Astyanax mexicanus: one gene and its partner. The protein of the gene in region 1 interacts with the protein of each later gene in a pairwise test. Links are inferred from orthologs where the notes say so. Each region holds a gene or a part of one and is shown on either strand. Other genes may lie near its edges.

Region 1 (7,066 bases):
AGCTAGAGCTTTCTTTTTAGCTAGAAAAGAACATGTTGATACTCACTCAGTAGAAGTCAGCGAGAGAGACTCTAGGAGAGCTGTGCAATCATCCAAAGAGGCCATCTTGCCAACACGGCTAGGAGACATAATTTTCTTAGTCACCGGGTCTCTGCGTGGAGTTTGGAAACAAACCTGGAGAACAAACAGTAACGAAAACTTAAGGGGATAAAGTGAGCAGAAATTTAAATTTAAGCAAGAAATATCCACATATTACAGCCACATTCAACACAGTCAGTGTACGGAATTCAACAACCCTGAATGTGTTACAAAATGACGTGGATTACAGAGAACAATGAGTTTATTCATAAAGTAAGCAGTTCATTAAGAAGAACTATGCCTTTTGTAGCAACATGGCAAAAATAAAAAAATAAAATGTACATTTTACAAACTACAAATAAACACTTCCAAAAACTGTACATCAGTTAAAACTCCTAACTTCCTTTGGAATCAATTGACTGTCTATCTAGCCCTATCCAAGTTAGCACATATACAAACACAATCATTTAAAGTCTCTACCTTCACTCCTTTGGGCACGTTTTTGTTGAGGTTTTCAGCCTGAGATTGTCTCAGTATGGAAGGCCTGCCGGTGGGCTGATCCAAAGCGAAAATATCAGCAGAAGTTTCAGGTGCAATGTGCTTCCTAACAGGGCAAACTCCCTGATTCTCATCATTCACCACCACTGAACTCATACTAGAGAGAGAAAGAGAGAGAGAAAAACACACTGAAGAGTATGAGTGACGACATCATAAAACGAGCCACTCCCAGTGGGCACTCTGTGTACAGTACCCAGCTGGGTTTACTGATAAGCCAGAAGGACTTGTGCTTTAAATAAACAGAAAATTTAAGTAGTTTGTTGATGAAAACTGATATTTTAAATTAAATGTTTTGATATCCACTTTTAACTGTTTGCAGTTTATATGCATGCACAAATCATACTGTTACTATTTCACACAATTAGAGTCTTGGTAAATAACTGTTAACCAAAAACGACAAACTAATAGATTTTTAGTTTTATTTACTAAAATTATTCTGGAATCTTATTTGGGTGCATAACTACATTCTCAAAATAAATCTTATACTGTAATACTGTAGACCACATTCAGCAACAGACAGCAATGTTGGTCATGTCATCACAGCTGATCCAGAGCCAATCTCATACCTATTCAAAGCTTCATTAGAAAGACTGTGGATACTTTCAGACATACAGTGCTGGTTGGTCATGTCGGTGAAAGCCTGAATTTCCAGGCTAGCTGCAGAAAGCATACAAAGTGAAGAGCCATTGTGCAGAATTAGGTCAGGGGTGGTTTAGTTCGGTCAGCTGATGTGTGGCAGTGAAAGGTTGTTACTGTAAAATCCCAACTGTGCTCCAAATGTTAAGTAAAACTTATGTGAAAAGGTGTCCAACTGAGAAAGCCCATCGGTGAAAGTGAATCATACCTTCAAGAGAAAGGCAGAAACTGGAGGAAAATAACTTGACATTTCAAAATTACTGAATCAGTTGGCAGTTACACTTAGTATTTCCTGGCACACTGCTTTTTATATTTTACACAGTATTGAGGATAAACAGGTTATAAACCCTGTCCCTTGATGGCATGACTTCACATGACTAAGAATATGGAGTTATAATTACCATTTATGGCCATGTCTCTCTCCAGAACCCAGGAAACTCTATTTAAAATGAACAATGCACCATCAGCTTTACCAAGCCAGACTTCAAGAAAATTACCGATGTTCTACAGTATTTATTTCAGTAGGATTTTATAGGTCAAATGAAGCACCTCAACATCAAAAACAACATTCTGTGGGTAATAGAAAATTTATTCGTTACAAATAAACGATTATACAAGTTGCTTGAGTTGCTCAGTTGGCACAGTGTTTCAGTTCTCCTCCATGCTACTTCCATGTTTTAGATTGGACAGGGTGTGGTCACGTGATTATACATGTGGTTGTAAGTTCAGTACATGTACACATTGCTTTTTTTAAAACGAAATCAATATTTGAATCAATAAAATGCATTATATTAACTGCGCAGACCTAGTTTACACTCCAAACAAGTGTTCTACATTGTCACCCTTGTAGTTAAAATGGTCACTTTGTTTTAAATGTAATACAAACTCATAGCAAGACATTAAAATAAGCTCTGTTGAGTTTTTATAGGTTAAATAAGTTAAGTTAAAACAATGATAAATAAATTATAACCACACACACCAATGCACGTTTTAAAAGTACGTTACTTTTAGGACACTCTGTAATTACACATACTCACACTTAACGTTAACTCTTACTGACTGTCATTTTAAACAGTAGAAGACAAACAGTAGTTAGTGTTTTAATGGGGGAGCCAGACATTTCCAGAACTTAGTCAAAGGAGATGCATGTGTAACGTTACACAAGCTAGCTAGCTAGCTAACTAACCTAACGCACTTGATAAATACTCCATAAATAATTTAAATACGATTCAAAAAGTACTACATACCTTAAACATTGAAATACTTTAACTTGGTTAACCTGCCGTTAACTAGTTAACCAAACTAGCTAGTAAACTAAGCCAAACTATCTAGTCTGGTAAGCTTAGCTAACGTTAGCTAGCTATGAAACGTCAGTTAAATTAGTGTTTGAACTGAATACCAAAACATTGTAAAATGTGTAAACTAGATAGCTGAGTTAAAAGTATAAGTTAAGAGAGAGAAATTACCTAGCTGGCCACTTAACTATTTATTAAAATACCAGATAACGACTCGCTGTCAGAAACTAGCTTTAAAAGTATTATTTCACACTTTAAGTTACTCGACACTGCTCATAAAGATTTGTCCTCATACTTACATGTCTCCGTACAGACAGTCAGCAGCAGAAGAAGCAGAAATAAAGATTAAAACGTGTTTATCCTGAAGAGACGGGCTGCGGCTCCCTCTCCGCTGTGAGTATCTTAACTGAGCCGCTGCACTGGTTTAACAGAATACCCGTTTACCGTTACATTTCAAATTTAAACGCCTTTGCCTCCACCAATCACATTCCTACCGCGACGCCAAGAAGGCGGGCTGTAATATGAATCTACCAATGCCATGTCAAACTGCGCGCAACTCTGATTGGCTGGTGCAGAAACAGACCTGGCGAATGAGCCAATAGTAAACACATTCAATCATAAACAGGCCCACATGTTACCTTATTCAACCCGTTGTAATCATTACTGTAAAAGCAGCGCCAGCAGAGAATCTCTGGAGAGCAAAATCTTGGTGATATTTAAAAAAAAAGCTCAATATTTTTTACGACTTAGATTTCCAGTTCTTACACCACAAACCACAAAAAACAGCACAATTCAAAGTGACCTGCAAGTTATTGTTTCTACGGAGCACCTGAAGGGACATGGTTTATTTTTTAACATGAAAAAGTGGTGAGCACCACATACTAAGTGGTGAGCAGCAGATAGTAAATGGTGAGCACCAGATAGTAAGTGGTGAGCACCACATAATCACTTGTCTGTACCTGACTGCGACATTGTGCTGTGCACATGCTCTGCAATCCTCCATCCAATTATCTAAATCCTATTTGCCTAGCTGCCACACTGTATGTGTATGTGTCCAAAAGCTTTTTCTACAAAATGATGCCTTCTAACTTGTGCACGTCTTATAAGAGTTAGCTGGCTATCGTTAGCTCTGGGCTTAACGCTACCTTTAGCCACCTAACTAAAATATTCCCCACTGAAATAAAGTAGTTAACATTAGCTAACATAGCTAACTGGCTAGCTAACAACGTTATTACACTGTGGAAAATATGACAGATTAAACTATAGCTATAGCCAATTAGTATCTGGTGCTCATCACTTGTGTGTGTATGTGGTGGAGAAAAAATACTTTTTGAATAAATAAGAAATAAATAAGTATAAGTTCCGACCCTGCAATGTGATTGGCTGAGAGGAGTTTTATGAGCAACATTATTAGGCGATAACGCACTGTAACCGAAGCTTTCCATGTATTACTCCGCCAAATACAGGTAACATAGCAACGATGCAGCTCTTACCAGCCAAAAATGGACATTAATCTATACATATTTCTCTCTTAAAAACGTTTATTTGTTTATAACTAAACCGATCACATTTTCTCATCCTGTTTAACTCAAAATTGTTCAATAATCAGCAGTAATGGAACTGTGGTATAATCGCAATAATACACTCAAGGTTCGTGCTATAACGTGTCATATTGGCACTGCTGTTCTGAGGACCGCATCCCAGCAGTGCCAATATGACACCTTGTACCACTCCCTCTCGTGTAATATTGCTTAAATAATGCATCTTAATACATATTTTTTGCAAAATACACCATTCTACTTTCCAAAATTAAATGAATATACTGGCAAAGTATTTATAGACTATTTAACTACATTAAACTGGAGTTTTTAGCCATTTAGCTCCATTCCCCGTTATTCATTTTGCACTCACTCGAGGGCTCCCTCTAGCGGTGTGCGGTCAGTCTGATATAAAAGGGGAGATATGAAGTGAGTAGGCTCTGATTTGACCTGTTTGTGAAAGCACTACTAGCACTTCTACTCAAGAAGTAAATATAAACACTGATCAATAACAGTTTTACCCATAGACTGTATATAAAGATGGACGCCGTGTCGCCGTTCCCATTCATTCAATTAAAATGAAGCCAAAATCTTCCGCCATTTTGGCGATTCAGAGACCAGAGTCTGCGCAGTACAGACCAGAGGAGGGAGAAAGGCTGTGGAGAGACCGCCTACTCATTTGAATAACCCCGCCCCTGAGGGCTGCCTCGCGGTCACAGACTGCAGAGCGGGGTGGAGCGGAGCTGACGGTCTGTTATTGGTCCCGCCCATAAGCAGCCCTTTTACCATAACCACAACTTTTTTTGAATAGAGCCGAATAAAGTTTTAAAAACCGAATTCTGTGGGGATATAAAAATTTGACAATATAAGCAGAGGTTACATTAGCTGTTGCATTTAAATAATGGATGTAGAATTACAGTATATTAGAAAAAAACGTGATTGAAAGTTGTCTGTTTTGCCATTGAAACCTATGGGGATGGGTGGAGTTACACAGCTTTCTGCAGCCGAACAGCAGGGGGCGCCCGACCTGTGGTGGCTTCACTTTTAAGAGACGATGCTCTGTCCAGCTATACACAGTCTATGGTTTTACCCACCAAAATGTAATACACTTCTGCTTAAACACCCCAGTTTCAAAGGTAGGTCAAAATTCACAATATAGTCTATTTAGGCTAAAGATTTATGTTAGAAAAATTTGTTACAGTAAACATAACTTAAATATTGACGATAATATTGACTGCATCACCCATATATATTATGCACAGAAATATTTTTGATTTATTTTCCTTTAACAAGGTTTATTAAAATTAAGGTGGGACTGTTTATTACTTCAAAGGAACATATTTCAACTATTAATGAAAAAAGATGGTTTTAGGGTTTAGTGCCTCTTTAAGTACAAATACTTTGCCACCTGTCCTTGTTAAAATTAAATAAAAAAAATGAATATTTAAAACATGTGTTTTTATATTAACATTACTGTTATTGTCACAACAACCTGTGGTTCTGTAAGAATGGTTTCAGAGGTACTACTCTGTCATATCATAACTAGAGCTGCAGTGATTATAAATAATAAGTAATTTGTAACCGCAATAATGGGTGTGGTAGTGGGGGTAAAAGTGGGCCTGACTACCCAGGGCCCGAGTAGGGAGAGGGGTCCATGAAAATCCAGATTTTTATTTTCGCTCACATTCCTTTTGTACTGGCATGGATAGGAGCCCACTGACACTGAGAGTGTACAAGGCCCAGAATTTGCTGCTATGCCCTGACCGCAACACACAAAGTGCTTGCGACAGAAACACAAGGGGGGAGGTAGTTTAAACTGTGGTCTGTGTCTCCAAATGCACCCTATATCACAAAACACATTCAAACAGCTTCTGTGCTTTACAGCTGTTTCTTTTACTTAAAAGTGATGGACGGCATGGCAGAAATAATTAATACAATCTATTTGACTCACTGAATAATAATAATCACATAATTTGACTACTAAACAGCTTAGTTACAGGCCTATTCATAACCATGAAGCTAGCAACTGTAAAAGGTCATTGATGGTAACAAAACTAACAGAAAAAGCCCATGCCATGCGTGAGAAAGAAAGAGGTTTTTGGTAAAGTGAATAATTAATTTATATAATATTCATATGCTTTTTTCATTCAGATCATATAGTTTGGCAAATATCATGTATTGTACTGTAAACTGGGATTAATGTTATGAAATTCATTACCTACTGTAGGTTTTGTTTCTTGAAAAAACAATTACTGTAATTACGCAAAGGTCATGCCATATCATATCATACGCAATAATACTGCAAACTATTTTGACACAATAAAAGTCTACATATCGTTATAATAGTGATATTCGTGAAAGTCTATTTTGTATTTGTTTTTGCTGTTTACTTTAGTTACAGTTTATATTCATGTACAAAATGCACTGTTCTTTATTTTGTGTTAGATTTTTGTTGTTACTGTAAGTTACTGTTTAAAAAACAAGCCTTTTCTGTGTATGAAACTCCTATATTTATATTATAGTAAACTTTATTTATTTTGATGATTTAGAATATTTCTGAAATGTTTTTTCTTACTAAAATGTTTCGTCAAATAACCAAAAATATCGCTATCACAAAAATACCCTGAAATATTTCCCACCCCTAATGATCACATAAGTGAAATTTAAATGTATTTTCTAAAACTAACATTCAAACATTTTCAGTCAGTGTGGCCAAAATACACCATAATACAGAAAAAACACACAAGTAAATCCTTTGGAATTACCTGAATTTCTGCACACCGCCAACTGGCAAATAAATATAAACTACTTTAATGCTATACATGTTCAAGTCTTTATTTTAAAGTGTAACAGAAACACAGAAATATTACATTTGACTGTAAATCGTAACTTTTTTCTTTTTTTCTTTGATATCAAGACCCACACTTTTCTTCCTAATGTGTTACTTATTTGTATATTTTT
Region 2 (7,814 bases), on another chromosome or scaffold:
AATGAGAATTTGTAGATAAGTTACCTTGGTGGTATTGGCTTGCTAGGAGCTGATATGTTCCGTTTAGCTTGCTCTGCCATTTTTGCCTCGATTTCACGCTTCTTCTGAGCGATCAACTCCTCCTGCCTCATAATAACGTTGAGCTTGCTCTTCTGAGCAAATTTATTATTGTTATTATTCTTCCAGCCTCCTCGACCTGCAACACAAAATGTACAGTTAACATCAGGCTGAAACTGGCTTAGGATCTGTTATAATACACAACATATGATCAAAGGTCTAAAAGTATGGCATATACATTAGGCACTTTTCTGCTTAGCGCTTTTAGGTAAAGCCCAGGGACCTACAATTAAAAAATGTGTTCCCTCAATAATGTATTGAGTATTCTTAATTATGAATTGAGACATAAGTAATATATATATATATATATATATATATATATATATATATATATATATATATATATATATATATATATATATATCTAATAAAGGGATAAATAACATAATTGAATGAGAAGTTGTGTATTTAAACTTTTGACTAGTACTGTAGCTTATGTCTCATATATTTCTACAGACAATAATAAATAACACTGGGAATGAACCTCTACTATTTATAAAGTGCTATTTTTTACATTTTAATACACAGGGGCAGCAAAAAAGCAGCTCTGCAAAAAAAATAAAGAGACCACTTAAAAAATTATGAGTTTCTTTGATTTTACCTAATTGAAAACCTCCAGAATATAATCAAGAGGAGGATGGATGATCACAAACCATCAAACCGAGCTGAACTGCTTGATTTTTTTAATCAGGAGTAAAGACATAAAGTTATCCACAATCAGTGTGAAAGACTGGTGGAGGAGAACATCACAAGAAGAATGAAAACTCTGAATAAAAACCAGGGTTATTCCACCAAATATTGGTTTCTGTACTCTTAAAACTTTATGAATATGAACTTGTTTTCTTTGCATTGTTTGAGGTCTGAAAGCTCTGCATATTGTTTTGTTATTTCAGCCATTTCTCGATTGCATTTTCTACAAATAAATGCTCTAAATGACATGTTCATTTAATTCAAACATATATCTATAAATAGCAAAATCAGAGAAACTGATTCAGAAAATTAAGTGCTCTCTTGTTTTTTTTCAGAGCTGTATAACTAGAGCTGACATTAGCTAACCTAATCTAAACTAACGCTAGTTAACCTACAGCCGCTGACTAAGCTAACTTGGTTAGTTAGCCATAGTTGAAGATTAAAATACAATAAATCAACGAATTAAGTTACTAATTTTACGTATTACACAAAGGAATGTTAGTATTAGTAACTGCTAGTCAAATAAGTAACTTATATTAAGGATAAAGAATAAAGCTAAGCTAGCTAAGGGTGTGTATAATCTAGCTAAACTAGGCTAAAATATGCTAAGCTAAGCTAAAGCCCTAGCTAACACCATGCTAGCCTTATTACTAGCTAGCGATACGCAGGCAGCTCAAACACCATAATCAGCGGATCCCCGCGGCTACACTCATTATTGTTTTAATGTGTTTTAATATAGTTAATTTACCTCCATCGTTCGCCTCCATTTTCAGCCCCTTGTTTACTCAGTTGGTCAGTTGGGGTTGGATCTTTGCCTGCCGGGAGACGGGCGGCAGTGGTGGGTCTGCGTGACGTCACCCGCCAGCCACTTTTTCATCGACCCGGCAGTGCCAGGCACGTACCCGGCAGTACTAAAAACTGTCAGGGAGCTTCCTGACAGTACGCCGGCACTACTAAAAACTGTCAGGGGGCTAACTGACAGTACGCCGGCAGTTTTAAAAACTGTCAGGGAGCTTCCTGACAGTACGCCGGCACTACTAAAAACTGTCAGAGAGCTTCCTGACAGTACGCCGGCAGTATTAAAAACTGCCAGGGAGCTTGCTGACAGTACGCCGGCACTATTAAAAACTGTCAGGGAGCTTCCTGACAGTATGCCGGCACTACTAAAAACTGTCAGGGGGCTTGCTCACAGTACGCCGGCACTATTAAAAACTGTCAGGGAGCTTGCTGACAGTATGCCGGCAGTTTTAAAAACTGTCAGGTAGCTTCGTGACAGTACGCCGGCACTACTAAAAACTGTCAGGGAGCTTCCTGACAGTACGCCGGCAGTTTTAAAAACTGTCAGGGAGCTTCCTGACAGTACGCCGGCACTACTAAAAACTGTCAGGGAGCTTCCTGACAGTACGCCGGCAGTTTTAAAAACTGCCAGGGAGCTTGCTGACAGTACGCCGGCACTATTAAAAACTGTCAGGGAGCTTCCTGACAGTATGCCGGCACTACTAAAAACTGTCAGGGGGCTTGCTCACAGTACGCCGGCACTATTAAAAACTGTCAGGGAGCTTGCTGACAGTATGCCGGCAGTTTTAAAAACTGTCAGGTAGCTTCGTGACAGTACGCCGGCACTACTAAAAACTGTCAGGGAGCTTCCTGACAGTACGCCGGCAGTTTTAAAAACTGTCAGGGAGCTTCCTGACAGTACGCCGGCACTACTAAAAACTGTCAGGGAGCTTCCTGACAGTACGCCGGCAGTTTTAAAAACTGCCAGGGAGCTTGCTGACAGTACGCCGGCACTATTAAAAACTGTCAGGGAGCTTCCTGACAGTATGCCGGCACTACTAAAAACTGTCAGGGGGCTTGCTCACAGTACGCCGGCACTATTAAAAACTGTCAGGGAGCTTGCTGACAGTATGCCGGCAGTTTTAAAAACTGTCAGGGAGCCTGCTGACAGTACGCCGGCAGTTTTAAAAACTGTCAAGGAGCTAGCCTAGGATGGACTCTTTCATATGGGAGTGGACCTGTTTTGGCATTATGGAAAAATCATGAGAAATTTAATTTTAAGCATAAATAATAAAAATAAATAAATAATATAAAATAAACAATACAGTGAATTTTTCCCAAACTTGCAGGAGTCATAGCCTAGGACAGACTCTTTCAAATTGTAGAGATCATGAGATCATGAGAAATTTAATTTTAAACATGAATAAAATAATAATAATAATAATAATAATAATAATAATAATATAAAATAAACAATACAGTGAAATTTGCCGAAACTTGCAGAGGTGATAGCCTATGTTTTGGCATCAAATGCTAACAGTGGAACTGTTTTGGTATTATGGGAAAATCATGAGAAATTAAATTTTAAGCATAAAAAATAAATAAATTAATATAAAATAAACAATACAGTGAAATTTGCCCAAACTTGCAGGAGTCAAAGCCTAGGACAGACTCGTTCAAATGGTAATGGAACTGTTTTGGCATTATGGGAAAATCATGAGAAATGTCATTTTAAGCATAAAAAAAAAAAAATGTATATAAAATAAACAAAACAGTGAAATTTGCCCAAATATGCAGGAGTCATGGTAGTGGATCTATTTTGGCATTATGGGAAAATCATGAGAAATTTAATTTTAAACAAGAATAAAAAAACATTAATAATAATAATAATAATAATAATAATAATAATAATAATAATAATAATAATAATATAAAATAAAAAATACAGTGAAATTTGCCCAAACTTGCAGAGGTGACAGCCTATGTTGTACTCTTTCAAATGGTAGTGGACCAGTTTTGGCATTATGGGAAAATCATGAAAAATTTTATTTTAAACACGCATACAATTTTTTTATTAATATAAAATAAACCATACAGTGAAAATTGCCCACACTTGCAGAAGTGATAGTCTAGGATGGACTCTTTTACAAGGTACTGGATCTGTTTTGGTTTTTTGGGAAACTCATGAGAAATTTAATTTGAAGCATGGATTGAAAAAAGTAATATTAATATAAAACTCTCTCTCTCTCTCTCTCTCTTAAACACTGATGGGATATTATATCAAATAGATAATGTACTGCACAAAATATACAGTGAGGTGAGTTATTTTAATCCGTTTTTTCTCGTTTCTGGGCTTAATGTATGTCTGAATTAATATAATAGACTGAAACGTGTCGGTCTCCCGTTCTCTGTGTTTTTTAAGCGTGCTGTTTACCGTAAAATCGCACGTATACGCGCATCTAAACTTAAAGCGCGGATGACTTGACTGAGAATTTCCGAAGCGCGGATAGCTTGACTCCGGTCTTACTGTCAGCTAGCCCCCTGACAGTTTTTAGTAGTGCCGGCGTACTGTCAGGAAGCTCCCTGACAGTTTTTAGTAGTGCCGGCGTACTGTCAGGAAGCTACCTGACAGTTTTTAGTACTGCCGGGTACGTGCCTGACACTGCCGGGTCGATGAAAAAGTGGCTGGCGGGTGACGTCACGAAGACCCACCACTGCCGCCCGTCTCCCGGCAGGCAGAGATCCAACCCCCTCTCCAGTTGGTACTCAGTAACTGTTTCGCCTCGTCTCGAAAACAAACCCGCTGTACTGTAGAGGAGTTCACACCGCCGCCCGCAGCGCAGGAGGAGAAACTGTGGAGCAGATTTTACTGAATGGAGCTGGAGATGGTGAAGGAGTTCCCCACAGATAAGTAGAGCAAAACACTCTTAAATTAGACATTTTCAGAAGTGCTGCTTTTTGTTGGACTTTTTTTTAGGTCTCTTTCAGACCAAGCTTATAATACACAGAGGTGGAAAAAGTATTGAAAAATTGTAATTAAGTAAAAGTACCATTACTTTGCTAAAATTCTACTCAAGTAAAAGTACCCATCTAAAAAATCTACTCGAGGAAAAAGTAAAAAAGTACTCAATTTACAATTTACTTTGAGTAAAAGTTACATAGTTACTTTTAATTATTTGATGTAAAAAAAGTACAAAACATAAATTAAATATATTTAATGAATTATTATTCCAAATAATAATTTGGACCTTTCAGGCAGTATTTGTTCAGACCACCCCATAAAACATTTTTAAAAACAAGTGGCATAGGTTTCTATGATCCATTTTTTTCTTTACCGTTTAAAAGTTATGGTCATATACATGACTATAAACTGTATTGCTATAGTTTTACAGTTCATTATCATTTTTTTAACTTGCCATTGCCATGCTTTAACTGCTATTTACATGTTTTTGTTTTTTACATTTAAGAAGATTGTTTAATGTTTCCAATAAAAAACTTAAGGAATTATCATGAAAAACATAAAATCATACAAAAAAAAAAAAAACCTAAAGAAACACATATCGATGGGTAGCATAACTCTACAGAACACCGGTTTCCCCCGAGCACAGCTGATTTACACAGCGTCTCTCTCGCTAACCGTAATAAACACTGCTGGGAAACGTTCAGCTGCGCTGCCATGGAGAACAAAACTCAACAAAACCCCAACATTTAATTATTTACTCAGTAACGGGGAGTTTTCCAATGTAGTGAAGTAAATTACTTGTGTCAAAATGTACTTGAGTAAAAAGAGTAAAAATTACCTATTTTATAAACTACTTAAAAAATTACAAATTAAAAAATAAAATATAAAATCTACTCAATTACAGTAATTTGAATAAATGTAATTCATGACTTTCCTGATAATACACTATACACACATACACTACACGACTTTGAAAAGACTTTTAACAGACTAAAGTCTGACACCCTCTCACATCTAAAGACAAGTCACAGACTTTTTACTAACAGGCTAAGATTTTGCAAAGACTGGGGATCACTAACTGCAAGACTGCAACTAGATTCTTTCTGAGATCATTTTCCCATCATGCTTCTGGTGGAGTTTACATGCAATACATATTAAGTTATCATACAAATAATGTGCTTATCAATACTGTGATTTATCAGAGACTCACAACTTTTCTGCCCATCAACAGTTTATTTTTCTGCCACACTGTTAGTTCTTGATATTTTTAAATAGAATACATTTCGTGTTCAACTAAGCTTTGTTATAACCTTGTATAGCAAAGAATCACAGTTTCAGAATCTCAGTTATACATTTGCCTTTGTTTTAGATAGAATTAATGCAATAAAGAACATCATTCTTGCAAAATGTTTATTTATTAAAATTGTTTGTATCAAAAATAACACTGCACAATAAGACAAAGTAGTGCAAAATAAAATAACTTTAAATATAATTATTTTAAAGAACCATATAGGGCATATTAAATGCAAAATGTGTTCTTTTTCAAATTGTTTGTAAACCACATCACTATTTACTTCACTATTGTGTGAGCCGGAATTATGTGACAACATGAGATCCTAATGCATGGATACGACTTAATTAAGCGTGGGAACAAGAACCTAATATGTGGGAACGAGATAATTAAGGCATGGGAACAAGATCCTAATGAGTGGCCCCTACTTATTTAAGAATGGGAACGAGAACCTAATGCGCAGGAACGAGATAACTAAGCCATAGTAACAAGATCCTAATGCGTGGCCACGACTTATTAAAGAGTGGGAAGGAGATCCTAATGCATGGCCATGACTTAGTAAAGCGTGAGAACGAGAACCTAATGCGCATACATATATATATATAAAAGTGTGCGTACCTCTGACAGCAAAACCTCAGATCCGTGATCGATAAAGTTCCTTTTCTTCGCCATTTTCCTAATAAGAGTATTGCAAGGCATATTTGACTAATTAGCATATTATAATCTTCATAATGGAGGAAGGAGACAAGGCAGAGTATTGTGTTCCTGCATGTGCGCTTAATTTGAATTTGATTGTGATGTATTACAATAGTGTGGGTCAAAATCTACTTAAATACGGTTTCATACATCTGTTTTTTTTAGTGCATATAGAACTTTTCATTTTCATTTCATTTTATTATTAATTCCACACAACTCTTAGTTCATGAGGCCCCAGGTCTGCTACAACTGGTCTAAAACAGAAATGTATAGTGCTAGAGACACAGACTTGAGTAAAAATCTGAGTAGAAGTGTTCTATCAAAAAAAGTGATACTTATCCCATTTGGGGTCAGAGAGCAAGGGCAGACATGGTACAATGCCCCTGGAACAGCAGACAATATGGATATTATATTAAACCTGGGTATCAAACCCAAAAGCTTGGTATTGATTATCCAGCATTTAAACTGCTAAGCCAACACTGCCCTAAATGACCTAAATGGTCATATGTGCCTGCAAAACTTTTTTTTTTTTGCAAGGGCAATTTTTAAAACTGTACAGACATAGATAATATACAGAAGTAGAATTAAAGACAAATTCCCACTTATAATTTAATTACAAGTAAACACAAAGCTAATCTTAAATATCAAACAAATAGCACATTTAATTCTGGTTCATCTTGCTGAACCCCCTCTGTGCTGCAGCCCAGGTAAAGCAGGTGTAATCTGAACCCCGGGTGAGGCGTCACCCCCCGTTCTCAGCGGGGGCTCGCTGCCATCGGCACTCCAGCTGACCGACAGCCTCATTCAGGTCCAAAAACGGCTGCCATTCAGCGCAATGAAAACGATGAAATGCCTCCATTATAATGGTGAGGTGAAGGGCCCGGCAGGGCGGACACCCGATCCCCTCTCCATTGTCTCGTACATTTCATATCTGAAATATCTGCCCACACTCCCTTCTGGTACACACTGACACTCACTCACATGGGGCTCTGGGGCTCACTCTGGCTGAGCGGGAATGGGGAACAAGCAGACCATTTTCACTGCCCAGCAACTGGACGCATATCAGGTCAGTCAGGAGAAGCTGCATAGAATTAATTAATTTATTTATGGCTTGTGTTAGAGAGGTGCAAAAAGAACATCTATAATAATGCAGTTTAAATGTGCAAACTCTTCATGTCCTTTTGTAATTTAACGTAGTGTGTATCAGTGTGTATGAATTGTGGACTGTAAAAGTTATATTATTGTTAGTGAATTATTTCGTTCATCCTCTTAAATTCACAG

Evidence for each region.
Region 2: the proteins of tacc3 (region 1) and cib3 interact in binary tests that used the Homo sapiens proteins (3 or more experiments, as listed by UniProt). The two-hybrid records come from large-scale screens. The link is inferred for Astyanax mexicanus from reciprocal best matches to the Homo sapiens genes TACC3 and CIB3.

Annotation. Positions count from the first base shown.
Region 1 is NC_064414.1:9,971,782-9,978,847, forward strand, and holds the start of tacc3 (transforming acidic coiled-coil-containing protein 3), read right to left. Parts: upstream 3,015-7,066; 5' UTR 2,867-3,014; intron 1,712-2,866; exon of another isoform or gene 1,674-1,711; intron 734-1,673; 5' UTR 733-733; coding exon 559-732; intron 175-558; coding exon 47-174; intron 1-46. UniProt on the Homo sapiens protein: Plays a role in the microtubule-dependent coupling of the nucleus and the centrosome. Involved in the processes that regulate centrosome-mediated interkinetic nuclear migration (INM) of neural progenitors.
Region 2 is NC_064411.1:47,999,900-48,007,713, forward strand, and holds the start of cib3 (calcium and integrin-binding family member 3), read left to right. Parts: upstream 1-4,795; 5' UTR 4,796-7,548; coding exon 7,549-7,599; intron 7,600-7,814. Other genes in the region: sugp1 (SURP and G-patch domain-containing protein 1), read right to left, coding at 25-196, 1,556-1,574. UniProt on the Homo sapiens protein: Acts a an auxiliary subunit of the sensory mechanoelectrical transduction (MET) channel in hair cells. Plays a role in regulating hair cell MET channel localization and function.